Stegostoma tigrinum: one gene and its partner. The protein of the gene in region 1 purifies or fractionates together with the protein of each later gene. This does not show direct contact. Links are inferred from orthologs where the notes say so. Each region holds a gene or a part of one and is shown on either strand. Other genes may lie near its edges.

Region 1 (11,138 bases):
CCCTCTCCCCCCCCGCCTTCCCTCCCCCTCTCCCCCCCCGCCTTCCCTCTCCCCCCCCGCCTTCCCTCTCCCCCCCCCGCCTTCCCTCTCCCCCCCCCCGCCTTCCCTCTCCCCCCCCCGCCTTCCCTCCCCCCCCACCGCCTTCCCTCTCCCCCCCCGCCTTCCCTCTCCCCCCCCGCCTTCCCTCTCCCCCCCCCGCCTTCCCTCCCCCCCCACCGCCTTCCCTCCCCCTCTCCCCCCCCGCCTTCCCTCCCCCTCTCCCCGCCTTCCCTCCCCCTCTCTCCCCCCCCCGCCTTCCCTCCCCGCCTTCCCTCCCCCTCTCTCCCCCCCCCGCCTTCCCTCCCCGCCTTCCCTCCCCCTCTCCCCCCCGCCTTCCCTCCCCGCCTTCCCTCCCCCTCTCCCCCCCGCCTTCCCTCTCCCCCCCCCGCCTTCCCTCTCCCCCCCCCGCCTTCCCTCTCCCCCCCCCGCCTTCCCTCTCCCCCCCCCCCGCCTTCCCTCTCCCCCCCCCGCCTTCCCTCCCCCCCCACCGCCTTCCCTCTCCCCCCCCGCCTTCCCTCTCCCCCCCCACCGCCTTCCCTCCCCCCCCACCGCCTTCCCTCCCCCTCTCCCCCCCCGCCTTCCCTCCCCCTCTCCCCGCCTTCCCTCCCCCTCTCTCCCCCCCCCGCCTTCCCTCCCCGCCTTCCCTCCCCCTCTCTCCCCCCCCCCGCCTTCCCTCCCCCTCTCTCCCCCTCCCCCCCCGCCTTCCCTCCCCCTCTCCCCCCCCCCGCCTTCCCTCCCCCGCCTTCCCTCCCCCCCCCGCCTTCCCTCCCCCCCCCGCCTTCCCTCCCCCCCCGCCTTCCCTCCCCCTCCCCCTCTCCCCCCCCGCCTTCCCTCCCCCGCCTTCCCTCCCCCTCTCTCCCCCCCCGCCTTCCCTCCCCCTCTCTCCCCCCCCACCCCCTCTCTCCCCCCCCCGCCTTCCCCCCCCCTCTCTCCCCCCCCTCCCCCCCCCTCTCTCCCCCCCCTCCCCCCCCCTCTCTCCCCCCCCTCCCCCCCCCTCTCCCCCCCCGCCTTCCCCCCCCCTCTCTCCCCCCCCTCCCCCCCCTCTCTCCCCCCCCCTCCCCCCCCCTCTCTCCCCCCCCCCGCCTTCCCCCCCCTCTCCCCCCCCGCCTTCCCCCCCCTCTCCCCCCCCCGCCTTCCCTCCCCCGCCTTCCCTCCCCCTCTCTCCCCCCCCCGCCTTCCCTCCCCCTCTCCCCCCCCGCCTTCCCTCCCCCTCTCCCCCCCCGCCTTCCCTCCCCCTCTCCCCCCCCCCCGCCTTCCCTCCCCCGCCTTCCCTCCCCACCCCGCCTTCCCTCCCCCCCCGCCTTCCCTCCCCCTCTCCCCCCACCGCCTTCCCTCCCCCTCTCCCCGCCTTCCCTCCCACTCTCTCCCCCCCCCGCCTTCCCTCCCCCTCTCTCCCCCTCCCCCCCCCGCCTTCCCTCCCCCTCTCCCCCCCGCCTTCCCTCCCCCTCTCTCCCCCCCCCGCCTTCCCTCCCCCTCTCCCCCCCGCCTTCCCTCCCCCTCTCTCCCCCCCCCGCCTTCCCTCCCCCTCTCTCCCCCCCCCGCCTTCCCTCCCCCTCTCTCCCCCTCCCCCCCCCCGCCTTCCCTCCCCCTCTCCCCCCCGCCTTCCCTCCCCCTCTCCCCCCCCCCCCCGCCTTCCCTCCCCGCCTTCCCTCCCCCTCTCCCCCCCCCCGCCTTCCCTCCCCCTCTCCCCTCCCCGCCTTCCCTCCCCGCCTTCCCTCCCCGCCTTCCCTCCCCCTCTCTCCCCCCCCGCCTTCCCTCCCCCCCCCGCCTTCCCTCCCCCTCTCTCCCCCCCCGCCTTCCCTCCCCCTCTCCCCTCCCCGCCTTCCCTCCCCGCCTTCCCTCCCCGCCTTCCCTCCCCCTCTCTCCCCCCCCGCCTTCCCTCCCCCCCCCGCCTTCCCTCCCCCTCTCTCCCCCCCCGCCTTCCCTCCCCCTCTCCCCCCCCCGCCTTCGCTCCCCCTCTCCCCCCCCGCCTTCCCTCCCCCTCTCCCCCCCGCCTTCCCTCTCCCCCCCCCGCCTTCCCTCTCCCCCCCCCGCCTTCCCTCCCCCTCTCTCCCCCCCCGCCTTCCCTCCCCCCCCCGCCTTCCCTCGCCCCCCCCCGCCTTCCCTCCCCCTCTCTCCCCCCCCGCCTTCCCTCCCCCCCCCCGCCTTCCCTCCCCCCCCCCCGCCTTCCCTCCCCCTCTCTCCCCCCCCCGCCTTCCCTCCCCCTCTCTCCCCCCCCCGCCTTCCCTCCCCCTCTCTCCCCCCCCCGCCTTCCCTCCCCCTCTCCCCCCCCCGCCTTCGCTCCCCCCTCCCCCCCCGCCTTCCCTCCCCCTCTCCCCCCCGCCTTCCCTCTCCCCCCTCCCCCCCGCCTTCCCTCCCCCTCTCCCCCCCGCCTTCCCTCTCCCCCCTCCCCCCCGCCTTCCCTCCCCCTCTCTCCCCCCCCCGCCTTCCCTCCCCCTCTCTCCCCCCCCCGCCTTCCCTCCCCCTCTCTCCCCCCCCCGCCTTCCCTCCCCCTCTCTCCCCCCCCCGCCTTCCCTCCCCCTCTCTCCCCCCCCCCGCCTTCCCTCCCCTCTCTCCCCCCCCCGCCTTCCCTCCCCCTCTCTCCCCCCCCCGCCTTCCCTCCCCTCTCTCCCCCCCCCGCCTTCCCTCCCCCTCTCTCCCCCCCCGCCTTCCCTCCCCCTCTCTCCCCCTCCCCCCCCCGCCTTCCCTCCCCCTCTCTCCCCCCCCGCCTTCCCTCCCCCTCTCTCCCCCCCGCCGCCTTCCCTCCCCCTCTCTCCCCCCCCCGCCTTCCCTCCCCCTCTCTCCCCCTCCCCCCCCCGCCTTCCCTCCCCCTCTCCCCCCCCCGCCTTCCCTCCCCCTCTCTCCCCCCCCCGCCTTCCCTCCCCCCCCGCCTTCCCTCCCCCTCTCTCCCCCCCCGCCTTCCCTCCCCCTCTCTCCCCCCCCGCCTTCCCTCCCCCGCCTTCCCCCCCCCCTCCCCCCCCCCGCCTTCCCTCCCCCGCCTTCCCCCCCCCCCTCCCCCCCCCCGCCTTCCCTCCCCCGCCTTCCCCCCCCCTCTCCCCCCCCCGCCTTCCCTCCCCCGCCTTCCCCCCCCCTCTCCCCCCCCGCCTTCCCCCCCCTGCCTTCCCCCCCTCTCTCCCCCCCCCGCCTTCCCTCCCCCTCTCTCCCCCCCCCGCCTTCCCTCCCCCTCTCTCCCCCCCCGCCTTCCCTCCCCCTCTCCCCCCCCCGCCTTCCCTCCCCGCCTTCCCTCCCCCTCTCTCCCCCCCCGCCTTCCCTCCCCCCCCCGCCTTCCCCCCCCTGCCTTCCCCCCCCTCTCTCCCCCCCCCGCCTTCCCTCCCCCTCTCTCCCCCCCCCGCCTTCCCTCCCCCTCTCTCTCCCCCCCCGCCTTCCCTCCCCCTCTCTCCCCACCCCCCGCCTTCCCTCCCCCTCTCCCCCCCCGCCTTCCCTCCCCGCCTTCCCTCCCCCTCTCTCCCCCCCGCCTTCCCTCCCCCTCTCTCTCCCCCCCCGCCTTCCCTCCCCCTCTCTCTCCCCCCCCGCCTTCCCTCCCCCTCTCTCCCCACCCCCCGCCTTCCCTCCCCCTCTCCCCCCCCGCCTTCCCTCCCCGCCTTCCCTCCCCCTCTCTCCCCCCCGCCTTCCCTCCCCCTCTCTCCCCCCCGCCTTCCCTCCCCCTCTCTCCCCCCCGCCGCCTTCCCTCCCCCTCTCTCCCCCCCCCGCCTTCCCTCCCCCTCTCTCCCCCCCCGCCTTCCCTCCCCCCCCGCCTTCCCTCCCCCTCTCTCCCCCCCCACCCCCTCTCTCCCCCCCCCGCCTTCCCCCCCCCTCTCTCCCCCCCCCCTCTCTCCCCCCCGACCCCCTCTCTCCCCCCCCCGCCTTCCCTCCCCCTCTCCCCCCCCGCCTTCCCTCCCCGCCTTCCCTCCCCCTCTCTCCCCCCCGCCTTCCCTCCCCCTCTCTCCCCCCCCCCGCCTTCCCTCCCCCTCTCTCCCCCCCCCCGCCTTCCCTCCCCCTCTCTCCCCCCCCCCGCCTTCCCTCCCCCTCTCTCCCCCCCCCCGCCTTCCCTCCCCCTCTCTCCCCCCCCCCGCCTTCCCTCCCCCTCTCTCCCCCCCCCCGCCTTCCCTCCCCCTCTCTCCCCCCCCCCGCCTTCCCTCCCCCTCTCTCCCCCCCCCGCCTTCCCTTCCCCTCTCTTCCCCCCCCCGCCTTCCCTCCCCCTCTCCCCCCCCGCACCCGCTACATCCCCGCCTACCCGCACCCTCCCCCTTTCTCCCCCCCCCATCAGAACCCTCCCTCCCAGTCAGAACCCTCCACTACTCACACACCTGCCCCCTAGTACACTCCCTCCTCCCCCAATCCCTACTATACACAGCTCCACTTCACTCCTTCCCCCTACTTCACACCCACACCACTTCACACCCTTCGCCCCCTCCCCACTGCACATCCTTCGCCCCCTCCCCACTGCACATCCTTCCTCCCTCTCCACCACCCTTCCCGGCCCCCTAACCGCACCCACTCACACCCCTCCCCCACCCTCCCTGTACACAGCCACACCCTACTCACACTGCTACCCCCTTCCCCAAGCCCCGCCCGGATAGCGGCTTCTGGCTATAGGCCCGGATCCTGCAGCCGTTGCCATGACAGCAGTGAAGTGACCTCGCTCGGCCCAGGCTTCAAAGTGACACCACGGGGCCCTCTCCCCTCCCCCCTCCCGGGAGCTGGGACCAAAGGCCGCGGACGAGCGAGCGAATGGCCGGCTGGCTGGCCGGCCGCCCGGAGTCGGGGGAGTGGAGAGAGGAGAATCGTGCTGGGGGTGTGGTCGTGTGCGGATCTGCCTCGGACGCGGCCTGTGGGCGGGAGCCCCCGCGGATCCTGATCGGGCAGCCATGCTCCCCGGTGGGAAGGGGAAAGGTGTGTGTCGGGGGCGGGGGATTGTGGGGAGCAGAACCCCGGTGGCAGTGCCTCCCAAATCTCTCTCCCCCAGGACCGAGGGGCGGGCCGGGGCCGGCTCCACGCGAGCCCCTGCTGCCAGCGGGGCGCTGCCCCCATCCGCCTGGCCGGCCGCCCGCCTGCCCTCTTCCCAGCCCGCCTACCTATGTGGTTGTCTTCGATGTGCTCGATGAGCTCCCCCAGGGTCGGGAACTGCAGCCCGCATCCCCCGAAGCGGCAGGTATTGGAGAAGAAGGAGGCGGCGGCGATCCCTGTCATGGTGCTACATGGGTCCAGGCAGCAGGAGGGAGGGAGGGAGGGAGGGATCGGGCCAGGGGCGGGGACACGGAGTGAGAGAGGGGAGGGCTGGGTGGGGGATGTGGTGGGAGACACAGACTCACCTACAGCACCTTTCACAAACCAGACCGCTAACTCCACTTGCATCGGCGTTAACTTTAAAAAGCGTTTTATTTTACTCCCAAGTTAAATCATTAATTTCATGAAAATACACAATACAAGAAGAAGTAATGTGCAAATTTCATTCACTCGTCTCAAAACAGAAATCAAAGATGTAAAAGTTGGGCAAATCCTCCGGAATTTCCATTTTTTTCTGAGACTTTGCTCGTTGGCAAAACCATAAGCATAAACCAAAATTGCGATTGTGTGTACTAGCTACAAGATATACTGCAAAAATTCACCCAAGATCCTCAGACAGCACCACTTCCATCTAGAAGGACAAGGGCAGCAGATATATGGGAACACTGTCACGTCCAAGTTCCTCTTCAAGTCACTCACTATTCTGACTTGGAAATATATTGCCGTTCCTTCACTGTTGCTGAGTCAAAATCTGGGAATTCCCTCCTTAATAGGTATTGTGGGTTGACCCACAGCAGGAGGACTGCAGCGATTCAAAAAGCAGCTCACCACCACCTTCTCAAGGGCAACTAGGGATAGGCAAGAAACGCTGTCCAGCCAGCGATGCCCGCATCCCACAAATGAATAAAACAATTACGGTCTTATATTCTTTCCCAATATTTTACACTTTTTATCGTTGCAGAATTCACCTGACAAAGAGATTTGTGACCATTTTCTATTAGATATTCTGTCTGAGAAGAGCCCATCTTAGCACAGACTTGATGGAAAGCAAGTACGAACCCTGCAGTTTATGAAAAGATGAAGGCTCCAACTCTGAAATGTTAACTTGACTGATTTCTTCACAAATACCTTTTTAAACGATCCAAATGCATCCACAGGAGAACTAATAACGGAACAAAAAATGTAATTTCCACCAAAGCAATGTGTTTGTTGAAAGTCAAAATCATCATAATGACGTTTGTGATCATTTTGATTTATCCAATGGACATCAGTTGAAAACATTGAACCAAACTGCCTCTTTAAAAGCAGGTATAATTTCATTTCCAAGGCCGGATTCCTTCAAGTCAATACGATAGGCTGTACCCATGTAGCAGTTAAGGCACTGTCACATCAGCAATGTGTTCCTAGATTTAAAGAAATTCCGCTACTTCCATATGCAGTTAGTATACCACCGTAAAGGAACCTTGCATGCGTGCATAGTTCCCAGATACAAGTCATAGTAAGGTGAGCCATAATGGACTCAAAACATTAACTTTGCTGCCAAACCTGTTGAGTTTCTCCGGCATTTCATTTTCGTGTGCAATCATAGTTAGGTAGAACCAGTCAGCCTCTCTGGATGACTCCTGGGTAACAATGAGGTATCCTTTGAAAAAATGGCTGGGAATGTCAGTGCGGAACCAAAACACAAGATCACAACAGATACAGCCATAGTCTTTTGACATCCAGAACAACTAATCAGTAGGCCATTGGCTTGCTGAAAATGTGATCCTGTTGCCTTGATTGGTCTGGAGATAACTTTTAATACAGCACTTCAAGCATCTTGGATATAGTTATAGTGCAGTGCATTCTAACCAACAGGAAAAGGAGGCAAGTGGTAAGCAACATTCGCAGTACAGAAATGCCAGGCAATAATCACTTCCAGTAAGAGATAATCTAACAACTGCCACTGGGATTCCTTTAAGCAACTTTGGCGGTAGCCTGGGACTCTTTTCAGCTGCTTAGGTTGCTGTTTTCGTCATTGTTGGTCTGGCTCTCCTTGTAGCAGCTTCAGTCAGCTTGAGACACTAAGCAGCATTTTCTTCAGCATCTTCTTCAGCATCATGGTGTGTCCAGCTTGGGATTACAACGGGGGTTCGGATCCTCGAGCCCAGAAACATAAGATGGACTAAGTGAACCTTGTCTTAAATTCTAATTTTTTATATTTTTCTCTTATTGTATTATTATGGAAGGATTGTTATTTTGAATGTTTATCTTTTTTTCCAAATTTATTACAATGATTTTATGCTTTTGCTAGGCTGTAAAGCTGGACTTTTTATTTCCCTTTTCTTTCCTTAATAATTTTTACCCAAGAATCTGTACATAGGTATCTTTCTACCTAAGATGGCACCTAAAGTGGCAACTTGTAAACTTTTCATTGTACTAATGTGAGAACATGAGACAATAAAGCTAATTCATTTCAATTCAGTTGACATTCAATGGTGTTTTCATTACTGAATCCCTCACTATCAACATCCAAGCATTACCACTGACCAGAAACTTAACTGGACTTACCATACAGTGGCTACTACAGGGGGTCAGAAGCTAGGAATACCAGAATGAGTAACTGACCTCCTGACTCCCCAGAGCCTATCCACCATCAGGAAGACAGGGCAAATCAGGAGTACGATGAAATATTCCCACTTGCCTGGATGACTGCAGCTCCACCATCACTCAAGCTTGCCATCATCAAGTACAAAGTAGTCTGCTTGATGGGCACAATATCTACAAGCATCCGTACCATCCATCACTTACACTTAGTAGCTGCAGTGTGAACTATCTACAAGTGGCACTGCAGAAATTCCCCAAAGATCCTTAGGCAGCACCGTCCAAACCCATAAGTGCTTCTTGCTAGAAGGTCAAGGGCAGCAGATGCATAGGAACGCGACCATCTGCAAGCTCCCCTGTAAACCACTCACTGTCCTGACTTGGAAATGTATTGCAGTTCTTTCACTGTTGCTGGATACAAATTCTGGAATTCCCTCCCTAATAGCATCATGGGTCTACCTGCAGCATATGGCTGTAGTGGTTCAAGAAGGCAGCTTAGCACCACCTTCTTAAAGGCTGCAAGGGGCTGGCAATAAATTTTGACCAGTCAGTAACACCCATATCCCACGAATGAATAAATAAAGAAAAGATTTCTCATCTTCCCCAGAGGACGGGGACCATCCAAAAGTCCCACTGATGCTGAGTCCATCAAGCTGCATGCCAGGAAAACCTGTAGCACCTTTTATACAGAAAATAATCATTTAAGTACATGACTTCCTATACCGAATTCCTTGCACCACAGCTCATGCTACATCAATTAAGACCGCAATTATGAACCCATCACAGTGTACAGACCTCCTTCCTTGAAGAAATTCTAATTCGGTATCCTTTTCAGTTTAAATCTGTCACCTGAGCTTCAGACTGTTCTTCATAGTTGACATGTAATGAGGTAATAAGTGATTCTTTTCATTTAGCTAATACAAATGTTTTAATTGCAAAAATGTCAACATGACACTTGCATAAAAGAATGCACTCAGCTCCTGACCTCATTACAGCTTTGGTTCAAACCTGAACAGAAGAGCTGAATTCCATAGACGTGGTGAGAGTGACAACCCTTCGCATCACGGCTGCACTTCACCAAGTTTGGCATCAAGGAACTACAACAAGACTGAAGTTGATGGAAATCAGGGGGAAAACTCTCCATTATTTGGAGTTATATCTGGCATATGAGAAGATGGTTGTGGTTGTTGGAGGTCAGTCATTTCAGCTCCAGGACATCTTTACAGGAGTTCCTCAGAGTAGTGTCCTATACCGAACCATCTTCAGCTACTTCATCAACGAGCTTCCCTCCGTCACATGGTCAGAAATGAGGACGTTTGCTGACGATTGAACAATGCTCAGCACCATTCACAACTTCATTTACATCGAGAGGCAAGAGGCATGACTGAAATGTTAAACCACTTTCTTACCTGTGAGGCAGATGCTGCCCAGGCCGCAATGGGAGAAGAAACTCAGTCACTGAAAGGGTTTAAAATTGATCAGGTGAAGGTATTAGATAAACTGTATTTAAAGTTGATAAGGCAGCTTGACCTGATGAAATGCATTCAAGAATATTTAAGGAAATAAGAATGGATTTTGCAGAAGCACTGGCAATTAACTTTCAATCTTCCTGGACTCAGGAGTGCTGCCAGAGCATCAGAGAATCACATACATTACTCCCTGGTCAAAAACACCTGTAAAGTTCACTTTGGCAATTACAATTCAGCCAATTTAACCTCAGTGGAGGGGAAACTTCTAAACACAATTATTTGGGATAGAATTAATAGTTATGTGGAAAATGTAGATTGATTTGGAAGAGTCACCATGAAGTTGTTGAGGGTAAATTGTGTCTAACCCACTTGCTTGAGTTTTTTGAAGCAATAATAGAGTTGACAAGACCAAGACTTGGTTTGGTATACATGGATTTCCAAAAGATGATCAATAGTGCCAGTGCCATAATAGACTTATGAGAAATGTTTTTGTTATAGAATAATATGGACAATAGCAACATAGATACTAAATCAGCCAAAGGATTTAAACATAGTTTTGATTAATGGCTATTTTTCATGTTGAAAAAATGTTGTACTTGAGTTCCCTAGTAGTTGGTACTGGGACATTTACTTTTCCTGATCTAGATCATGGTGTACAGGGGCAACTTCAAAAATTATGGACAACACAAAACTTGGGACAATTGTAAACTGTGAGAAGGACAATGTCAAACTTCAAAAGGGACCTTTACACATTGGTGGAATTCACAGATGAAGTTCAATGTTGAGAAATGTGAGCTGATGCAGTTTGGTACAAAGTACATGGAGAAACAATATGAAATAAAGGATGCTATTCTAAAGGCTGTGCAGAAGCAGCGGACTGAGTGTATATGTATGTAAGTAATTAAAGGAGAAAGAGCTATTGATAAAGCATGCAGTATTCTATACTTCATAAATGGGGACATAGAGTACAAAAGCAGGGAGGTAATAATGAACTTATATAAGACCCTGTTTCAACCTCAACTGGATCATTGTGGCACTACAATGGTTTGGGTGCTACTCTATAGGAAAGATGTGAATGCATCAGAGAGACTGCAGAACAAGTTTATGGGAATGGTTTCAGGGATAAGACACATGAATTATGGAGAAATAGATAATACAGAGTAGAGTTGAAGGGGCACATCAGGCCAGGCAGCGTTAAAGGAGCAGAAAAATTGTCGTTTTGGAGAAAGATTGGACATGGACCCAAGTTGTGGATTGGACCAAGTCACATCTCTGGGTTCTTCACTGTCACAGCACTCACTCACTATACATCTGCCTGGATGCTTACAGCAATCTCGCATTGTGTTACTTTGCCTTTTTGCACTGTGCCCTCTCAACCAGAAATACGAGAACTCATATTACTGCTGTCGTGCAACATAGATACATGGTCATTTATCATAGATACAAGGCCAGGAAGCTTGTCATAGTTGTCAGCAGGCCTCAGTCAAGTCAAGGAGGTATAGCCTTCCTTCCGTGGATCCTAGCACTACAGGTTAATAGCAGCCTCTGATACCAGTTCAAGGTCAGAAATCATACAACACAGTTATAGTCTAACAGGTTTATTTGAAAACACAAGCTTTCGGAGCCTCACTCTTTCTGACACCTCAAGAAGGAGTGAGGCTTTGAAAGCTTGTGTTTTCAAATAAACCTGTTGGACTATAACATGGTTTCATGTGATTTCTGACCTTGCACACCCCAGACCAACATTGGCATCTCTACATCATGGATACCAGTTCAGGCCTAGCTAGAGTCAGGATACTGTCTTTGTAAGTGATGAACACTCATCTTGATTCTTTCTACTCTTTTGTCGGCTATTTCCTCATGTAATGAGAGGAACGTAGGTATTATGGAAGATGAAAATGGATAACACCATTACTGCCAAACCCAGTGGGGAGGCAGCCTGAAATGTTGGGTAAGGAGGGCAAATGGTATGCATGGTTAATGGTGACATGGGCTGGAGTGGGTGAAAGTGATTGAGGGAAGATTTATTTCTTCATTTATTCATAGGATGAGGGTGTCAAT
Region 2 (10,569 bases), on another chromosome or scaffold:
TAGATTCCAGGAATCAGCCCAATGAATCAGATTTGAAGTGACTTCACACTGCCAATATATTCTTTCTTCAAGGATCAAAACACAGTACTCCAGGTGCGGTCTCACCAACGCTCTATACAGTTGTAACAGCATTTTCCTATTTTAAACTCCAACCCTTCAAAGAAAAGAAAGCAAAAACACGTGATCCATGGTAACTTGGCAAGTTCAATCCAAAATTGGTTTAGTAATAGGAGACAGTGGTGGTAGATTGTATGACTGGAGCCCAATGGTGTGCCATTGCACAGGCACCCAGTGCTGGGTCCTTTTTTTATGTTTGTGATATTCAAAAATTATGTAGATAGAATTTAAATATGATAAATGTGAGGCACTCTGGAAAAAGGAGTAAGTTAAGGGACTAGTCAATGAGTGGCAAGACACTAGGAAGCACAGCTCTTGGGGTGCTTGATCACAGACCCCTGAATGTGGTAGACAGGCTAATAGGGGAGTTAAAGTATATTAGACGCCTTTTATCAGTTCTCTCATAAATGTAAGAGCAAGGTAGTCATGTTGGATCTGTACAGAGCTTTGGTTAGGCCATAACAAGAGTATTGTGTGCATTTCTGGATACCACACTGCAGGACGGATGTGATTGCCCTGGAGAGGGTGCAAAGGAGATTCACCAGGGTATTGCCTGGGATGGAGTATTCGGCTATAAAAAGAGATTGGATAACTCGGCTTGTGTTCTTTTGGAGGAGAGCAGATGGGGTGGGGGTGGTTGGGCAGATCTAATAGCTGTACATGATTGTAAACTGAAAGGCAGGAGGTTTAGAGGGGATTTGAGGATAAAGGTCCTTCACCTAGAAGGTGGTGAAGTTTTGGAATGCACTGCCTGGGAGAGTAGGTGAGGCAAGGAACCCGACCATCTTTAAAAAGTACAAGCACTTGAAAGTGTCATAATATTTGAGATTCATGGTCTTGTGCAGGAATTGGAACTAGTGTAGATAATGGTATATTTTAGCCTCTTCTGTATCTGATTCAGTGATGTCAAAAAAAACATTTTAACTGCTCTAACCAGCTACTCCCCAACCTGACCCCCCATGCCCTTTCGTAGTATTTCTGTCAGTAGTTCTGTCAGTAGTTCAATGTTAAGTTGAAATTGGTCCCAAACTATGATGAATGGAAGTTCATATAATAAGAATGGATACACTAATCCCAAACAGATAATTGGGCACCTACTGTAATTTACATTGAACAGGCTACTTCACAGGATTAAGGTGAGGTTCCACTTGTTTCCTTCGTAAAGCATTCCTTCCTTCATCAAAATTGACGATGTCCACAGCCAGTTCTGAAACAAGTCGGGTGAATGGCCGGCCCGGCAGTTTTACAAAGGGAAGAGTAGATCAGTGGGAGATACCAAATGATGGCAGAGAGCCTTAAATTTGTTTCTGCCCATCAGAACTGAGTCTTTAGATTAGAGGAAAAGTTCCAGAGATTTGGGGAATATGTCAATTTAATACCCTTATTCCAAAAGGGAAGGTAAGAAAAACCAGGTAACTATAGGTCTGTTAATTTAACATCTGTCATTAGGAAAATGTTAAAACTTATTACTAAGGATGTAACAACAGGACATTTGGTAGCATATAACAAAATTAAGCAAAGTCAGGGCTTTGGGAAGGGAAAATCATGCCTGGCAAATTTATTACAGTTCTTTGAGAAAGTAAGAAGCAGGATAGATAAAGGGGAACCAGTAGCTGTAGTATATTTGTATTTCCAAAAGACATTGATAAGGTTACTTAATAGAAGTAGTAAGGCTAGTTCCTAACTAGGAACCAATAAATGTAGTCAACTGATGATACAAGATGTGGCATGTTGTGATGTTGACAAAATGAATCTGCAAAGCATGGAGGTAGACTGAGTGGGAGGACAAAGCCTTGGCAGGAGAAATATTATGTAGGAAAGTAGGAGGTCATGCACTTTGGTAGGAAGAAGCAAAATTAATATTTAAAAAGGAGAGATGCCAAAGAAATGCCACACGAAGGGACTTGTATGTTCTTGTGTATGTAACCAGGTGCAGTAAATAATTAAGAAGGCAGATAGAATGTTGGCTTTTATTGCTTTGAAGGGTTGGAAAAGGCCTTGCTGAAATCCATATAAACTACTTCAACTGCCCTACCCTCAACCGTACACTTAGTTAGTCCTCAAAACTCCAGAGTTGTTAGGTATGACAAAGCCGCCCAATGAAAAAGTCATGCTGAATGTCTTGATCAAACCTCGCCTTTCTAAGTGGAGATCAATTTCCTCCATCATTATTTCCTCCAACATTCCCCCACCAATTTTAGACTCACTGCTCTATAATTCCTTGGTTTCTTTCTACTACTCTTCTTGAAAAATGGAACCACATTAGCTGTTCTGCAGTTCACTAGCACCTCTCGTGTTCAGAGATGATTTGTAAATTTGGATCAAGGTCCTAGTAATTTCCTCTCTCATCCTCCACAGCAGTCTGTGATTCAACTCATCTGGACCTGGAGATCTTTCCACATTTAAATTCCCCCAAAGCCTCCAATACCTCAATTATCACATCAATCTGCCCAATAATGTCCTGCTCTCCCCTTCATCCCCCGATTCTCCAGCCTCTCCTCTCACCGAACTCCTCAACAAACCCACAATTCATATCCCTATCTGATTCATCCATTCTCTCCATTTCCCATGTCAGGTGGCACGGTCCCTACTTGTATATCCCCCCATCACACTACATTAAGGTCATATTTGACCAATGTAGCATCAAACACGACTACAGAAAATGGAAACTAATGAAAACCTCTCCGCTGCTGGGCTTAATACTTAGCACAAAGGAAGACGGCTGTAGTTGTTAGAGGCCAGTTATCTCAGCTCGAGTATATCACTGCAGGAGTTCCTCAGCTTAGTATCCCAGGCCCAAACACACTCAGTTGCTTTACCAAGACCTTCTCACTATCATGAGTCAGAAGTGGAAGTATTTTTGATGATTATGCAATGTTCAGCACCATTTGTGACTCGTCAGACACTGAAACAGTCCAAATGCAGCAGGATCTGCAAAATATCCAGAACTGGGAAAGAAACAAAGCTTCACATAACACAGGTGACAGGTAATAAACATCTTGCCACCAGCAGAATCTAATCATCATCTTTAACCATGCCCTCCCTCCAATCAGCATCTTGGCATTAATATTTAGACTAGACACATAAATATTAGTTCTGCAATTGGAATCCTCCAGCAAATAACTCTCATCCTGACAACTACTTACAAGGCACAAGCCTGGAGCATTTTCCATTCTGCCCTATGCTTCCTACTGTTCAATCAACAATTGTACATAGCACATGTTACCAAACTGCTCGCATAAACAGAAAAGTAATTGCGAAACAAACTAAATGTTTTATTTGACAAATGAATCACAGTCATAGAGTTTGGAAACAGACCCTTCAATCAAACCAGTCCACGCCAGCCACGTTCCCAAACTAAACTAATCCCACCTTCGAAACCTTTCCTATTCATGAACATCTAAATGCTTTTTAAATGTCGTAACTGTACCTGATTCCATTTTCTCTGACAGCTCATTCCACTCACACCACTGTCTGTCCAAAAATGTTGCCTCTCACGTCCTTTTTAAATCTTTTCCTTCTCACCTTAAAAATATGCCTCCTAGTTTTCAACTCCACCTCAGGGAAAACACCCTTGTCATTCAACTTATCTATGCCATTCATGATTTTATAAACCTCTATAAAGTTAACCCTCAACCTCTTACACTCCAGGTGAAAAACATCCCAGCCTTTCCACTCTATTTTTATATCATGTTTCCTCCATTCCTGGCAATATCCTGGTAAACTCCTCTCCAGTTTAACAAAATCCTTCCTATACCAGGGTGGCCAGAACTGTACACAGTACTCCAGAGGAGGCCTCACCACTGCCTGTCAACATGACATCCCAACTTCTAGACTCAAAGGTCTGAGCAACACTTTAACCATCCTGTCTACTTGTGATGCACATTTCAAAGATTTATGTACCTGAACCCCTACTTCGATGGATATTTGCACTTGTCTGTTGTTGATACAGTGGTGGCTCATTAGTAAAATGTCTCTGATTTTTCAGTTCAGAAGTTTTTCTTTTACTGCAGAGAAATAAACATCTGCACAGATATCTGTACCTTTATATACATGTGTGTGTGTGTGTGTGTGTGTGTGTGTGTGCGCGCACGCGCGTACCTGTGCATCTATAACTTGTATCCAGTTCCAACCTTCTCAGTTAGCTGAGAACCAGTCTCAGCTTCTGTTGTACAACTCCTTGGCACCTGATCATCTGAACACTGCAGCAAGCCACAGCCATAAAAACCAGAGTTCACAACACAATTCAATTATTTGCTGTGAAATTCTGGGAAATCTGATTTTAAGAATAGGATTCTATGAAAGAACTGCAGTGTGGGAACAGACCATTCAGCCACGTCCAAACCAACCTTCTAAACGCCATCCCACCCAGACTCACTGCACATCCTACACCTCCACATCACTGGACACAATGGGCAAATTAGCATGGCCAATCCATGTAACGTGCACATCTTTGGACTTTTGGAGAAAACAGAGACAGGGAGAATATGCAAACTCCACATAGACAGTTGCCCGAGGGTGGAATTTAATCTGGGTCCCTGGCGCTGCAAGGCAGCAGTGCTAACCACTGAGTCACCATATCACCCTTTCTTATTGCTGTCCAAGTTCTTTAAAGCTACAAAAATATAAAGGCAGATTCCTTACACCAGGTGTGTTGGGATGAGGCAGTTGAGCGGAACAGAGTGAAACGTTCTGCATCCTGTCACCTCAGTAAAACAAACCAACGCGCACATAGAAGTCAGCATACCATCCGAGAGCACCGCCACAGGAGGGCGGCCAATGCACCGATCAGACGGAGCCCACAGCCTGAGCGGATTGGCTGATCCCCTGCCGTCCAGAGGGTCTGATTGGCTGAGGCCAGTCGTCAATCACTGCTGCTGTCGTTCTGGAGGTCGGATTTTTTTGTGGGGTTGGGGGAGGGAAGGGCAGCGGCGGCAAAGTCGTCGTCGCCGAGATCCCCCACTCACCCCCGTGCTGCCTTGGCAGTGAGTCTCCCGCCTGCCCGCTGCTGGCAGCTGAGCTTGAGCCCCGCAAGCCCTGGGCCCTTTCCCTCAGGATGAAACCGGGTTGTTCCCCTCACCCCCCCCCAACGAAGGTTTAAATCGACACCACGGCAGCTAAAGTGAGCCATCGTACAACAGCGCTTACCTGTTTAAAAAAACCCTTATTTCGTTGCTTTTAGTACCACGTTCTTTCCTTCAGAGGTCATAGTTCATGACCTTGGCTAGTTTTTTTCCCTCTGATGCGCGTATTAGGGATTCATTCTGCGTGGTGGGGGGAGAGGGAAGCCCAGCCGGGACGCATGCGCGCACCGTCCGCCACAATCACGCCCTCTCATTGGCCGCCAAGGTACGGTCGTCCCACGTGCGCTCGGCGGCGATAATTTGCACTTTGCTTCAAGTCTCGGCTATTTCCGGAGCGGCGCCCGCTCTCCTTCGTTCGGCTGTTTCCGGAGATCGCTGTCCAACCTCTGCGGTGCTGACCAACCTTGCCCGCTACTCGGTGGTGACATTCCTGTAAAACGTTTCGACTCCCTTTTCAAAATACTGCTCACTTTGCACAGATGGTTTCCCGTTTTCCGAAGGTAAGGGACAGAAAATGACATTGCCGGGAAATTAAAATTTCCGTTTCTGGGCAAAATACATCATTGTGGATCAGTTTGATTTAATGTCATCAGGGAAGCCCGGATAAGGTAGGTACTGGTGTGTACAAGGTATTCAAGGACTGAGGTATACAAGGTCAGAAAACACACCACACCAGGTTATAGTCCTTCTTCAGGTGTTAGTGAGAGATGTAGTATCAGACACAGACTTTATAAGTAAAAGATCAAAAGCTCACACCGTTGATGAGGATGTATTAAACAAACCTAAGATGCTGTTACATCTTTAATCAGTTAAGAGGTTTTAACTGATTAATATGTATATGTAAATCCCCAAATTCCTTTCAAGTCACTGTCCTGAGAGAACTAAAGATCTTATCAGCGTAAAGAGGTGATATTTTAGGTCAGACAATGCGTGTAATGTGTGGCGCCTTGTTTAGAATCTGTTTGTGTTTTGGTTTGGAGTTAGATTGGTTTTATTTCTAAAGCAGCAATTTATATAATGCCACATTGACTGTCTTTTAGTTGCATGCTTTTTGAAAAAAAGAATGTATCTGCAAACACCTACACCCTCACGTGTGTGTGTGTGTGTGTGTGTGTGTGTGTGTGTGTGTGTGAGAGACGGTGTGTGCATGAGAGATGATCTATGTGATAGTGTGCATGCATGCGCATATGCGCGTGCGCGTGTGTGAGAGAGACACTGTGTGTATGAGAGGATCTGTGTGAGTGTGTGTCTGTGTGTGAGTGTTTGTGTAAGTGCATGAACATGTGTGAGAGTGTATAGTGTGGTGGGGTCACCTGTAGCGCGACATGAATCCAAGATCTCAGGTGAGGATGTCCCCATGGAAACCAAACTTCGCTATCAGCCTCTGCTCGGTGACTCTGTGTTGTTGTGTATCCCAAAGTCTGCCTTGAGGGATGTTTACCCAAAGATCCGAGGCCAAATGTCCTTGACCAGTGAAGTGTTCCCCCATTGGGAGGAAGCATCTGTGTCTGGCGATTGTTGCATGGTGTCCATTCATTTGTTCTTGTAGCGTCTGCATGATTTCTCCAATATACCATGCCTTGAAGCATCCTTGCCTGCAGCATACAAGATAGACAACATTGGCTGAGTCACATGAGTATCGCCATGCACACGGTGGGTGGTGTTCCCACATGTGGTGGTAGTGTCCATGTCTAAGATGCGATGTGTCTCTATGGTTTTAGAGTAGATGTGTAGCTCGGGTTGTGGATGTTGTGGTTGTTTGGCTCACCAAGCTGGTTCATTGTTCTGTAATATGTGTTGCAGAGGTTGCCATTACAAGGTTACATGATGTTGTGTTCGATGTTGCCCTGAAGGCTGGATAGTTTGCTTAAGGTTCAGCATTTGTTTGAAGGTGAGAAGTGGAGGCATGGGAAAGATCTTGGCAAGGTACTCATAGTCATTGATGTTGTGTTGATGGTTGTGAAGAACATGGCGTAGTTTCTACACTCCCGAGAAGTACTAGACAATGAAGGACACCCTATCAGGTTTATCCCGTATCTGTCTTCTGAGAAGGTCATTATGGTTTTTTGCTGTGGCATGTTGGAACTGGCGACCGATGAGTTGAGCATCATATCCTGTTCCTATGAGGGCATCCTTCAACACCATCAGGTGTCTGTCTCATTCCTCTCATCCAAACAGATCCCGCGTACGTGGAGGGTTAGTCAATCGGGGATGGCTGTTTGAATATATTTGGAGTGGAAGCTAGAGAAGTGCGGCATCATGAGGTTATCTGTGAGCTTGCGAGAGAGTGAGGTACGAGGGTGTCCATCCTTGATGGAGATGGGTGTGTCCCAGAATGACACTGATTCTAAAGAGTAGTCTGTGGTAAGTCTGATGCTGAGATAAAACTTGTTGGTATCACAATGTAGTTGTTTCAGTGATTCCTCACCATGAGTCCAAAGAAAGAAAATGTTGTCAATGTATCAGTGTATGTGTATAGTGTTGGTCGGAGGTTCTGTACAGCAGAGAAGTCTTGTTCAAACCTGTGCATGAGAATGTTGGCATACTGGGGCGCAAATCTGGTCCCTATGGCTGTTCCATGTGTCTGGATGAAGAACTGGTTGTCAAAGATGAAGATATTATGGTCGAGGATGAAGCAAATGAGGTGTAGGGCATCTGGAAGTTGGCAGTTGTTGGTATTGAGTACTGAGGCTGCTGTGGTGATGCCATTTTTGTGAGGGATGCTGGTATAGAGTGCCAAAATGACCATTGGGACCAGGAGTGTTCCTGGTTCGAATGGTCCATGGGTGCTGACTTTCTGTAAGAAACTTGTAGTGTTGCAACAGAAGCTGGGCATTTCTTGTACAATGTGTTTCATGATGCCCTCAACACAGCCAGAAAGGTTCTCACACAGGGTCCCATTGCCTGATGTAATGGGACGTCCAGGTGTGTAGGCGCTGCGTATCTTTGGAAGGTAGTAGAAGTCCCCTACATGTGAAGTACGCAGGATGAGAATGTGTAGGGTCATCTGAAGCACTGGATAAAAAGCCTTGACCAGTCTATTCAGTTGAGAGGTATGTTCTTTGGTCAGATCAACAGGTTGTTGTCTGTAGTGTACCTGATTGATCAGCTGTCGGTACACTTCCTTGTAGTAGTGCGTTCTATTCTGTACGACAATGGATCTTCCTTTGTCTGCTGGTTTGATGGCAATGTTGTGATTGGTCTTGAGAGCCTGGATGGCATTGCACTGTGTCTGGGTGATGTTTTGCACTACCTTGTGAGTGTGGCTGATGAAGCTGGCATTCGTGCGTTCTGTGAAGCCTTAAGCATAACCATCAAACCCTGGGCAACGGCCCTCTGGAGGGGTCTAATTTGACTCTTTCTTTGCCCAATCCCTCATGGCTATCTCTGTCAATTGATTTGGTTCATTAGTTGTCTAATTGGGATCACTGCTGATATCTCAGAAGAATTCCTCTGACAAATTCATCTGTGTCTGCCGCAAGACCACTGGAGTTCATCTTGGTGGTGGGGCAGAAATTCAGTCCTCAGCTGAGAATTTCAATCTCATCTGCTTAGAGGGGATGGTCAGATAAGTTGACAATGGTTTTTCCCTGTGGTGGTACCAGGGCAGACTTGGTTATTGCTGGTGGTGATGTCAAGGTTCTCCAGCAACTTGTTCTTGGTGTGTATGAAGCTGGCGTAGTTCCATTGGCTCGTATGTTTGGCAGTGTCTTGTACCTGTGCTGCTGTATCTTAAGTGCAAGCTGAGAATATAGTTTCAAGCTTGATTTCACGACCACGGTGCTTGCTATAGAGTTGGTGTACAAGATGATTGAGGATTTTGAAAGAGGTGCAACAGCAAAATCTCTCAACATCATCAGTGTTGTAGGTCAGGACCTTTTGTGCTTTCTTACATTTCTGTAGAAACTTGATGTCTGCGCCTATATGCACAATCTTCCTCGAGATCCACTCCACTTTGAACCAGCAGTTGGTGGTGTCAATAGTAGCCATGATGTGGAGGTGCCGGTGTTAGATTGGGGTGGAGAGGGTCAGAAATCAAATGACAACTGGTTACAGTCCAATAGGTTTACTGGAAAACCCAAGCTTTCGAAGCCTTACTCCTTCAGGTGTTAGTGAGAGAGGTAGTATCAGACACAGAATTTATTAGTAAAAGATCAAAGGCTCACAAATTGATGAGAATGTATTAAACAAACCTAAGATACTGTTAATTCTTTAATTAGTTGGTAAGTTTTAATTGAAGATACAGGTACTTGAAAATACACACCAACAGGTTCAAGAACATCTTCCCTGCTGTTATTAGACTTCTGAATGGACCTCTCTAATTTCAAATCATGTTGATCTTGCTTTGTGCACATCCTCTGCAACCATCACCTTGTATGCCTCGCTCTAAGAACCCTAAGATCTGTACTTCCTTGTTTGTTAGGATCTGCCTGTACTGCTCGCAAAACAAAACTTCTCACTGTACTTAGATACATATGACAATAATAAATCAAATCAAATCAAATGAATGTGTGGCTAGAGAGCTGGTGTAGGAGGGAGGGCTTCAGATGTTGGCATCATTTTGATCCCTTCCGACGTCGGGGGCACTTGTGTGAGGAGAATAGTTGCACCTAAACTGGAGGGGAGGGATGCCAATATCCTCCCAGGAGCAGGGAGGTCTGCTCGTACCACTCCAGAAGAATTGTCAGTGATAGTGTTTGGGGGAAGCGGTGGAAACCACAGTAGAAGGGAGAGGTTAAGTCAAGTAATTCCAATAAGACGATCAAACAATTCAGGGTTAACAAACATGGCAGGACTGGTGATCTGAAGTATATTTGATTTTAATGCAAGGAGTATAACAGGTGAGGCAGGTGAGCTCAGATCCTGAATTAGTCTATGGAACTACGATGTTGTAGCCATTGGAGAAATTCAGCTGAGAAAAAGGCAGGACTGGCAGCTCATTGTCCCAGGTTTTAGAGTTTCAGGTGTGATAAAGAAGAAATTACATTTGTGATCAGAGATAATGGGAACTGCAGATGCTGGAGAATCCAATATAACAAAGTGTGAAGCTGGATGAACACAGCAGGCCAAGCAGCAACTGAGGAGCACAAAAGCTGACGTTTCGGGCCTGGACCCTTCATCAGAGAGTGGGATGGGGAGAGGGTTCTGGAATAAATGGGGAGAGAGGGGGAGGGGGACCGAAAATGGATAGAGGAGAAGATAGGTGGAGAGGAGAGTATAGGTGGTGAGGTGGGGAGGGGATAGGTCAAGGAGGTGGGATGAGGTTAGTAGGTGGGAAATGGAGGTGCGGTTTGAGGTGGGAGGAGGGGATAGGTGAGAGGAAGAACAGGTTAGGGAGGTGGGGACAAGCTGGGCTGGTTTTGGGATG

What was found.
Region 2: the proteins of jazf1b (region 1) and nuclear receptor subfamily 2 group C member 2-like purify together in Homo sapiens (affinity purification with mass spectrometry; 4 studies listed by BioGRID and IntAct, with this or other methods). This does not show direct contact. The link is inferred for Stegostoma tigrinum from reciprocal best matches to the Homo sapiens genes JAZF1 and NR2C2.

Annotation. Positions count from the first base shown.
Region 1 is NC_081355.1:58,587,566-58,598,703, forward strand, and holds the start of jazf1b (juxtaposed with another zinc finger protein 1b), read right to left. Parts: upstream 5,232-11,138; 5' UTR 5,209-5,231; coding exon 5,094-5,208; intron 1-5,093. UniProt on the Homo sapiens protein: Acts as a transcriptional corepressor of orphan nuclear receptor NR2C2. Inhibits expression of the gluconeogenesis enzyme PCK2 through inhibition of NR2C2 activity.
Region 2 is NC_081364.1:68,469,409-68,479,977, reverse strand, and holds the start of nuclear receptor subfamily 2 group C member 2-like, read right to left. Parts: upstream 5,419-10,569; 5' UTR 5,266-5,418; intron 1-5,265. UniProt on the Homo sapiens protein: Orphan nuclear receptor that can act as a repressor or activator of transcription.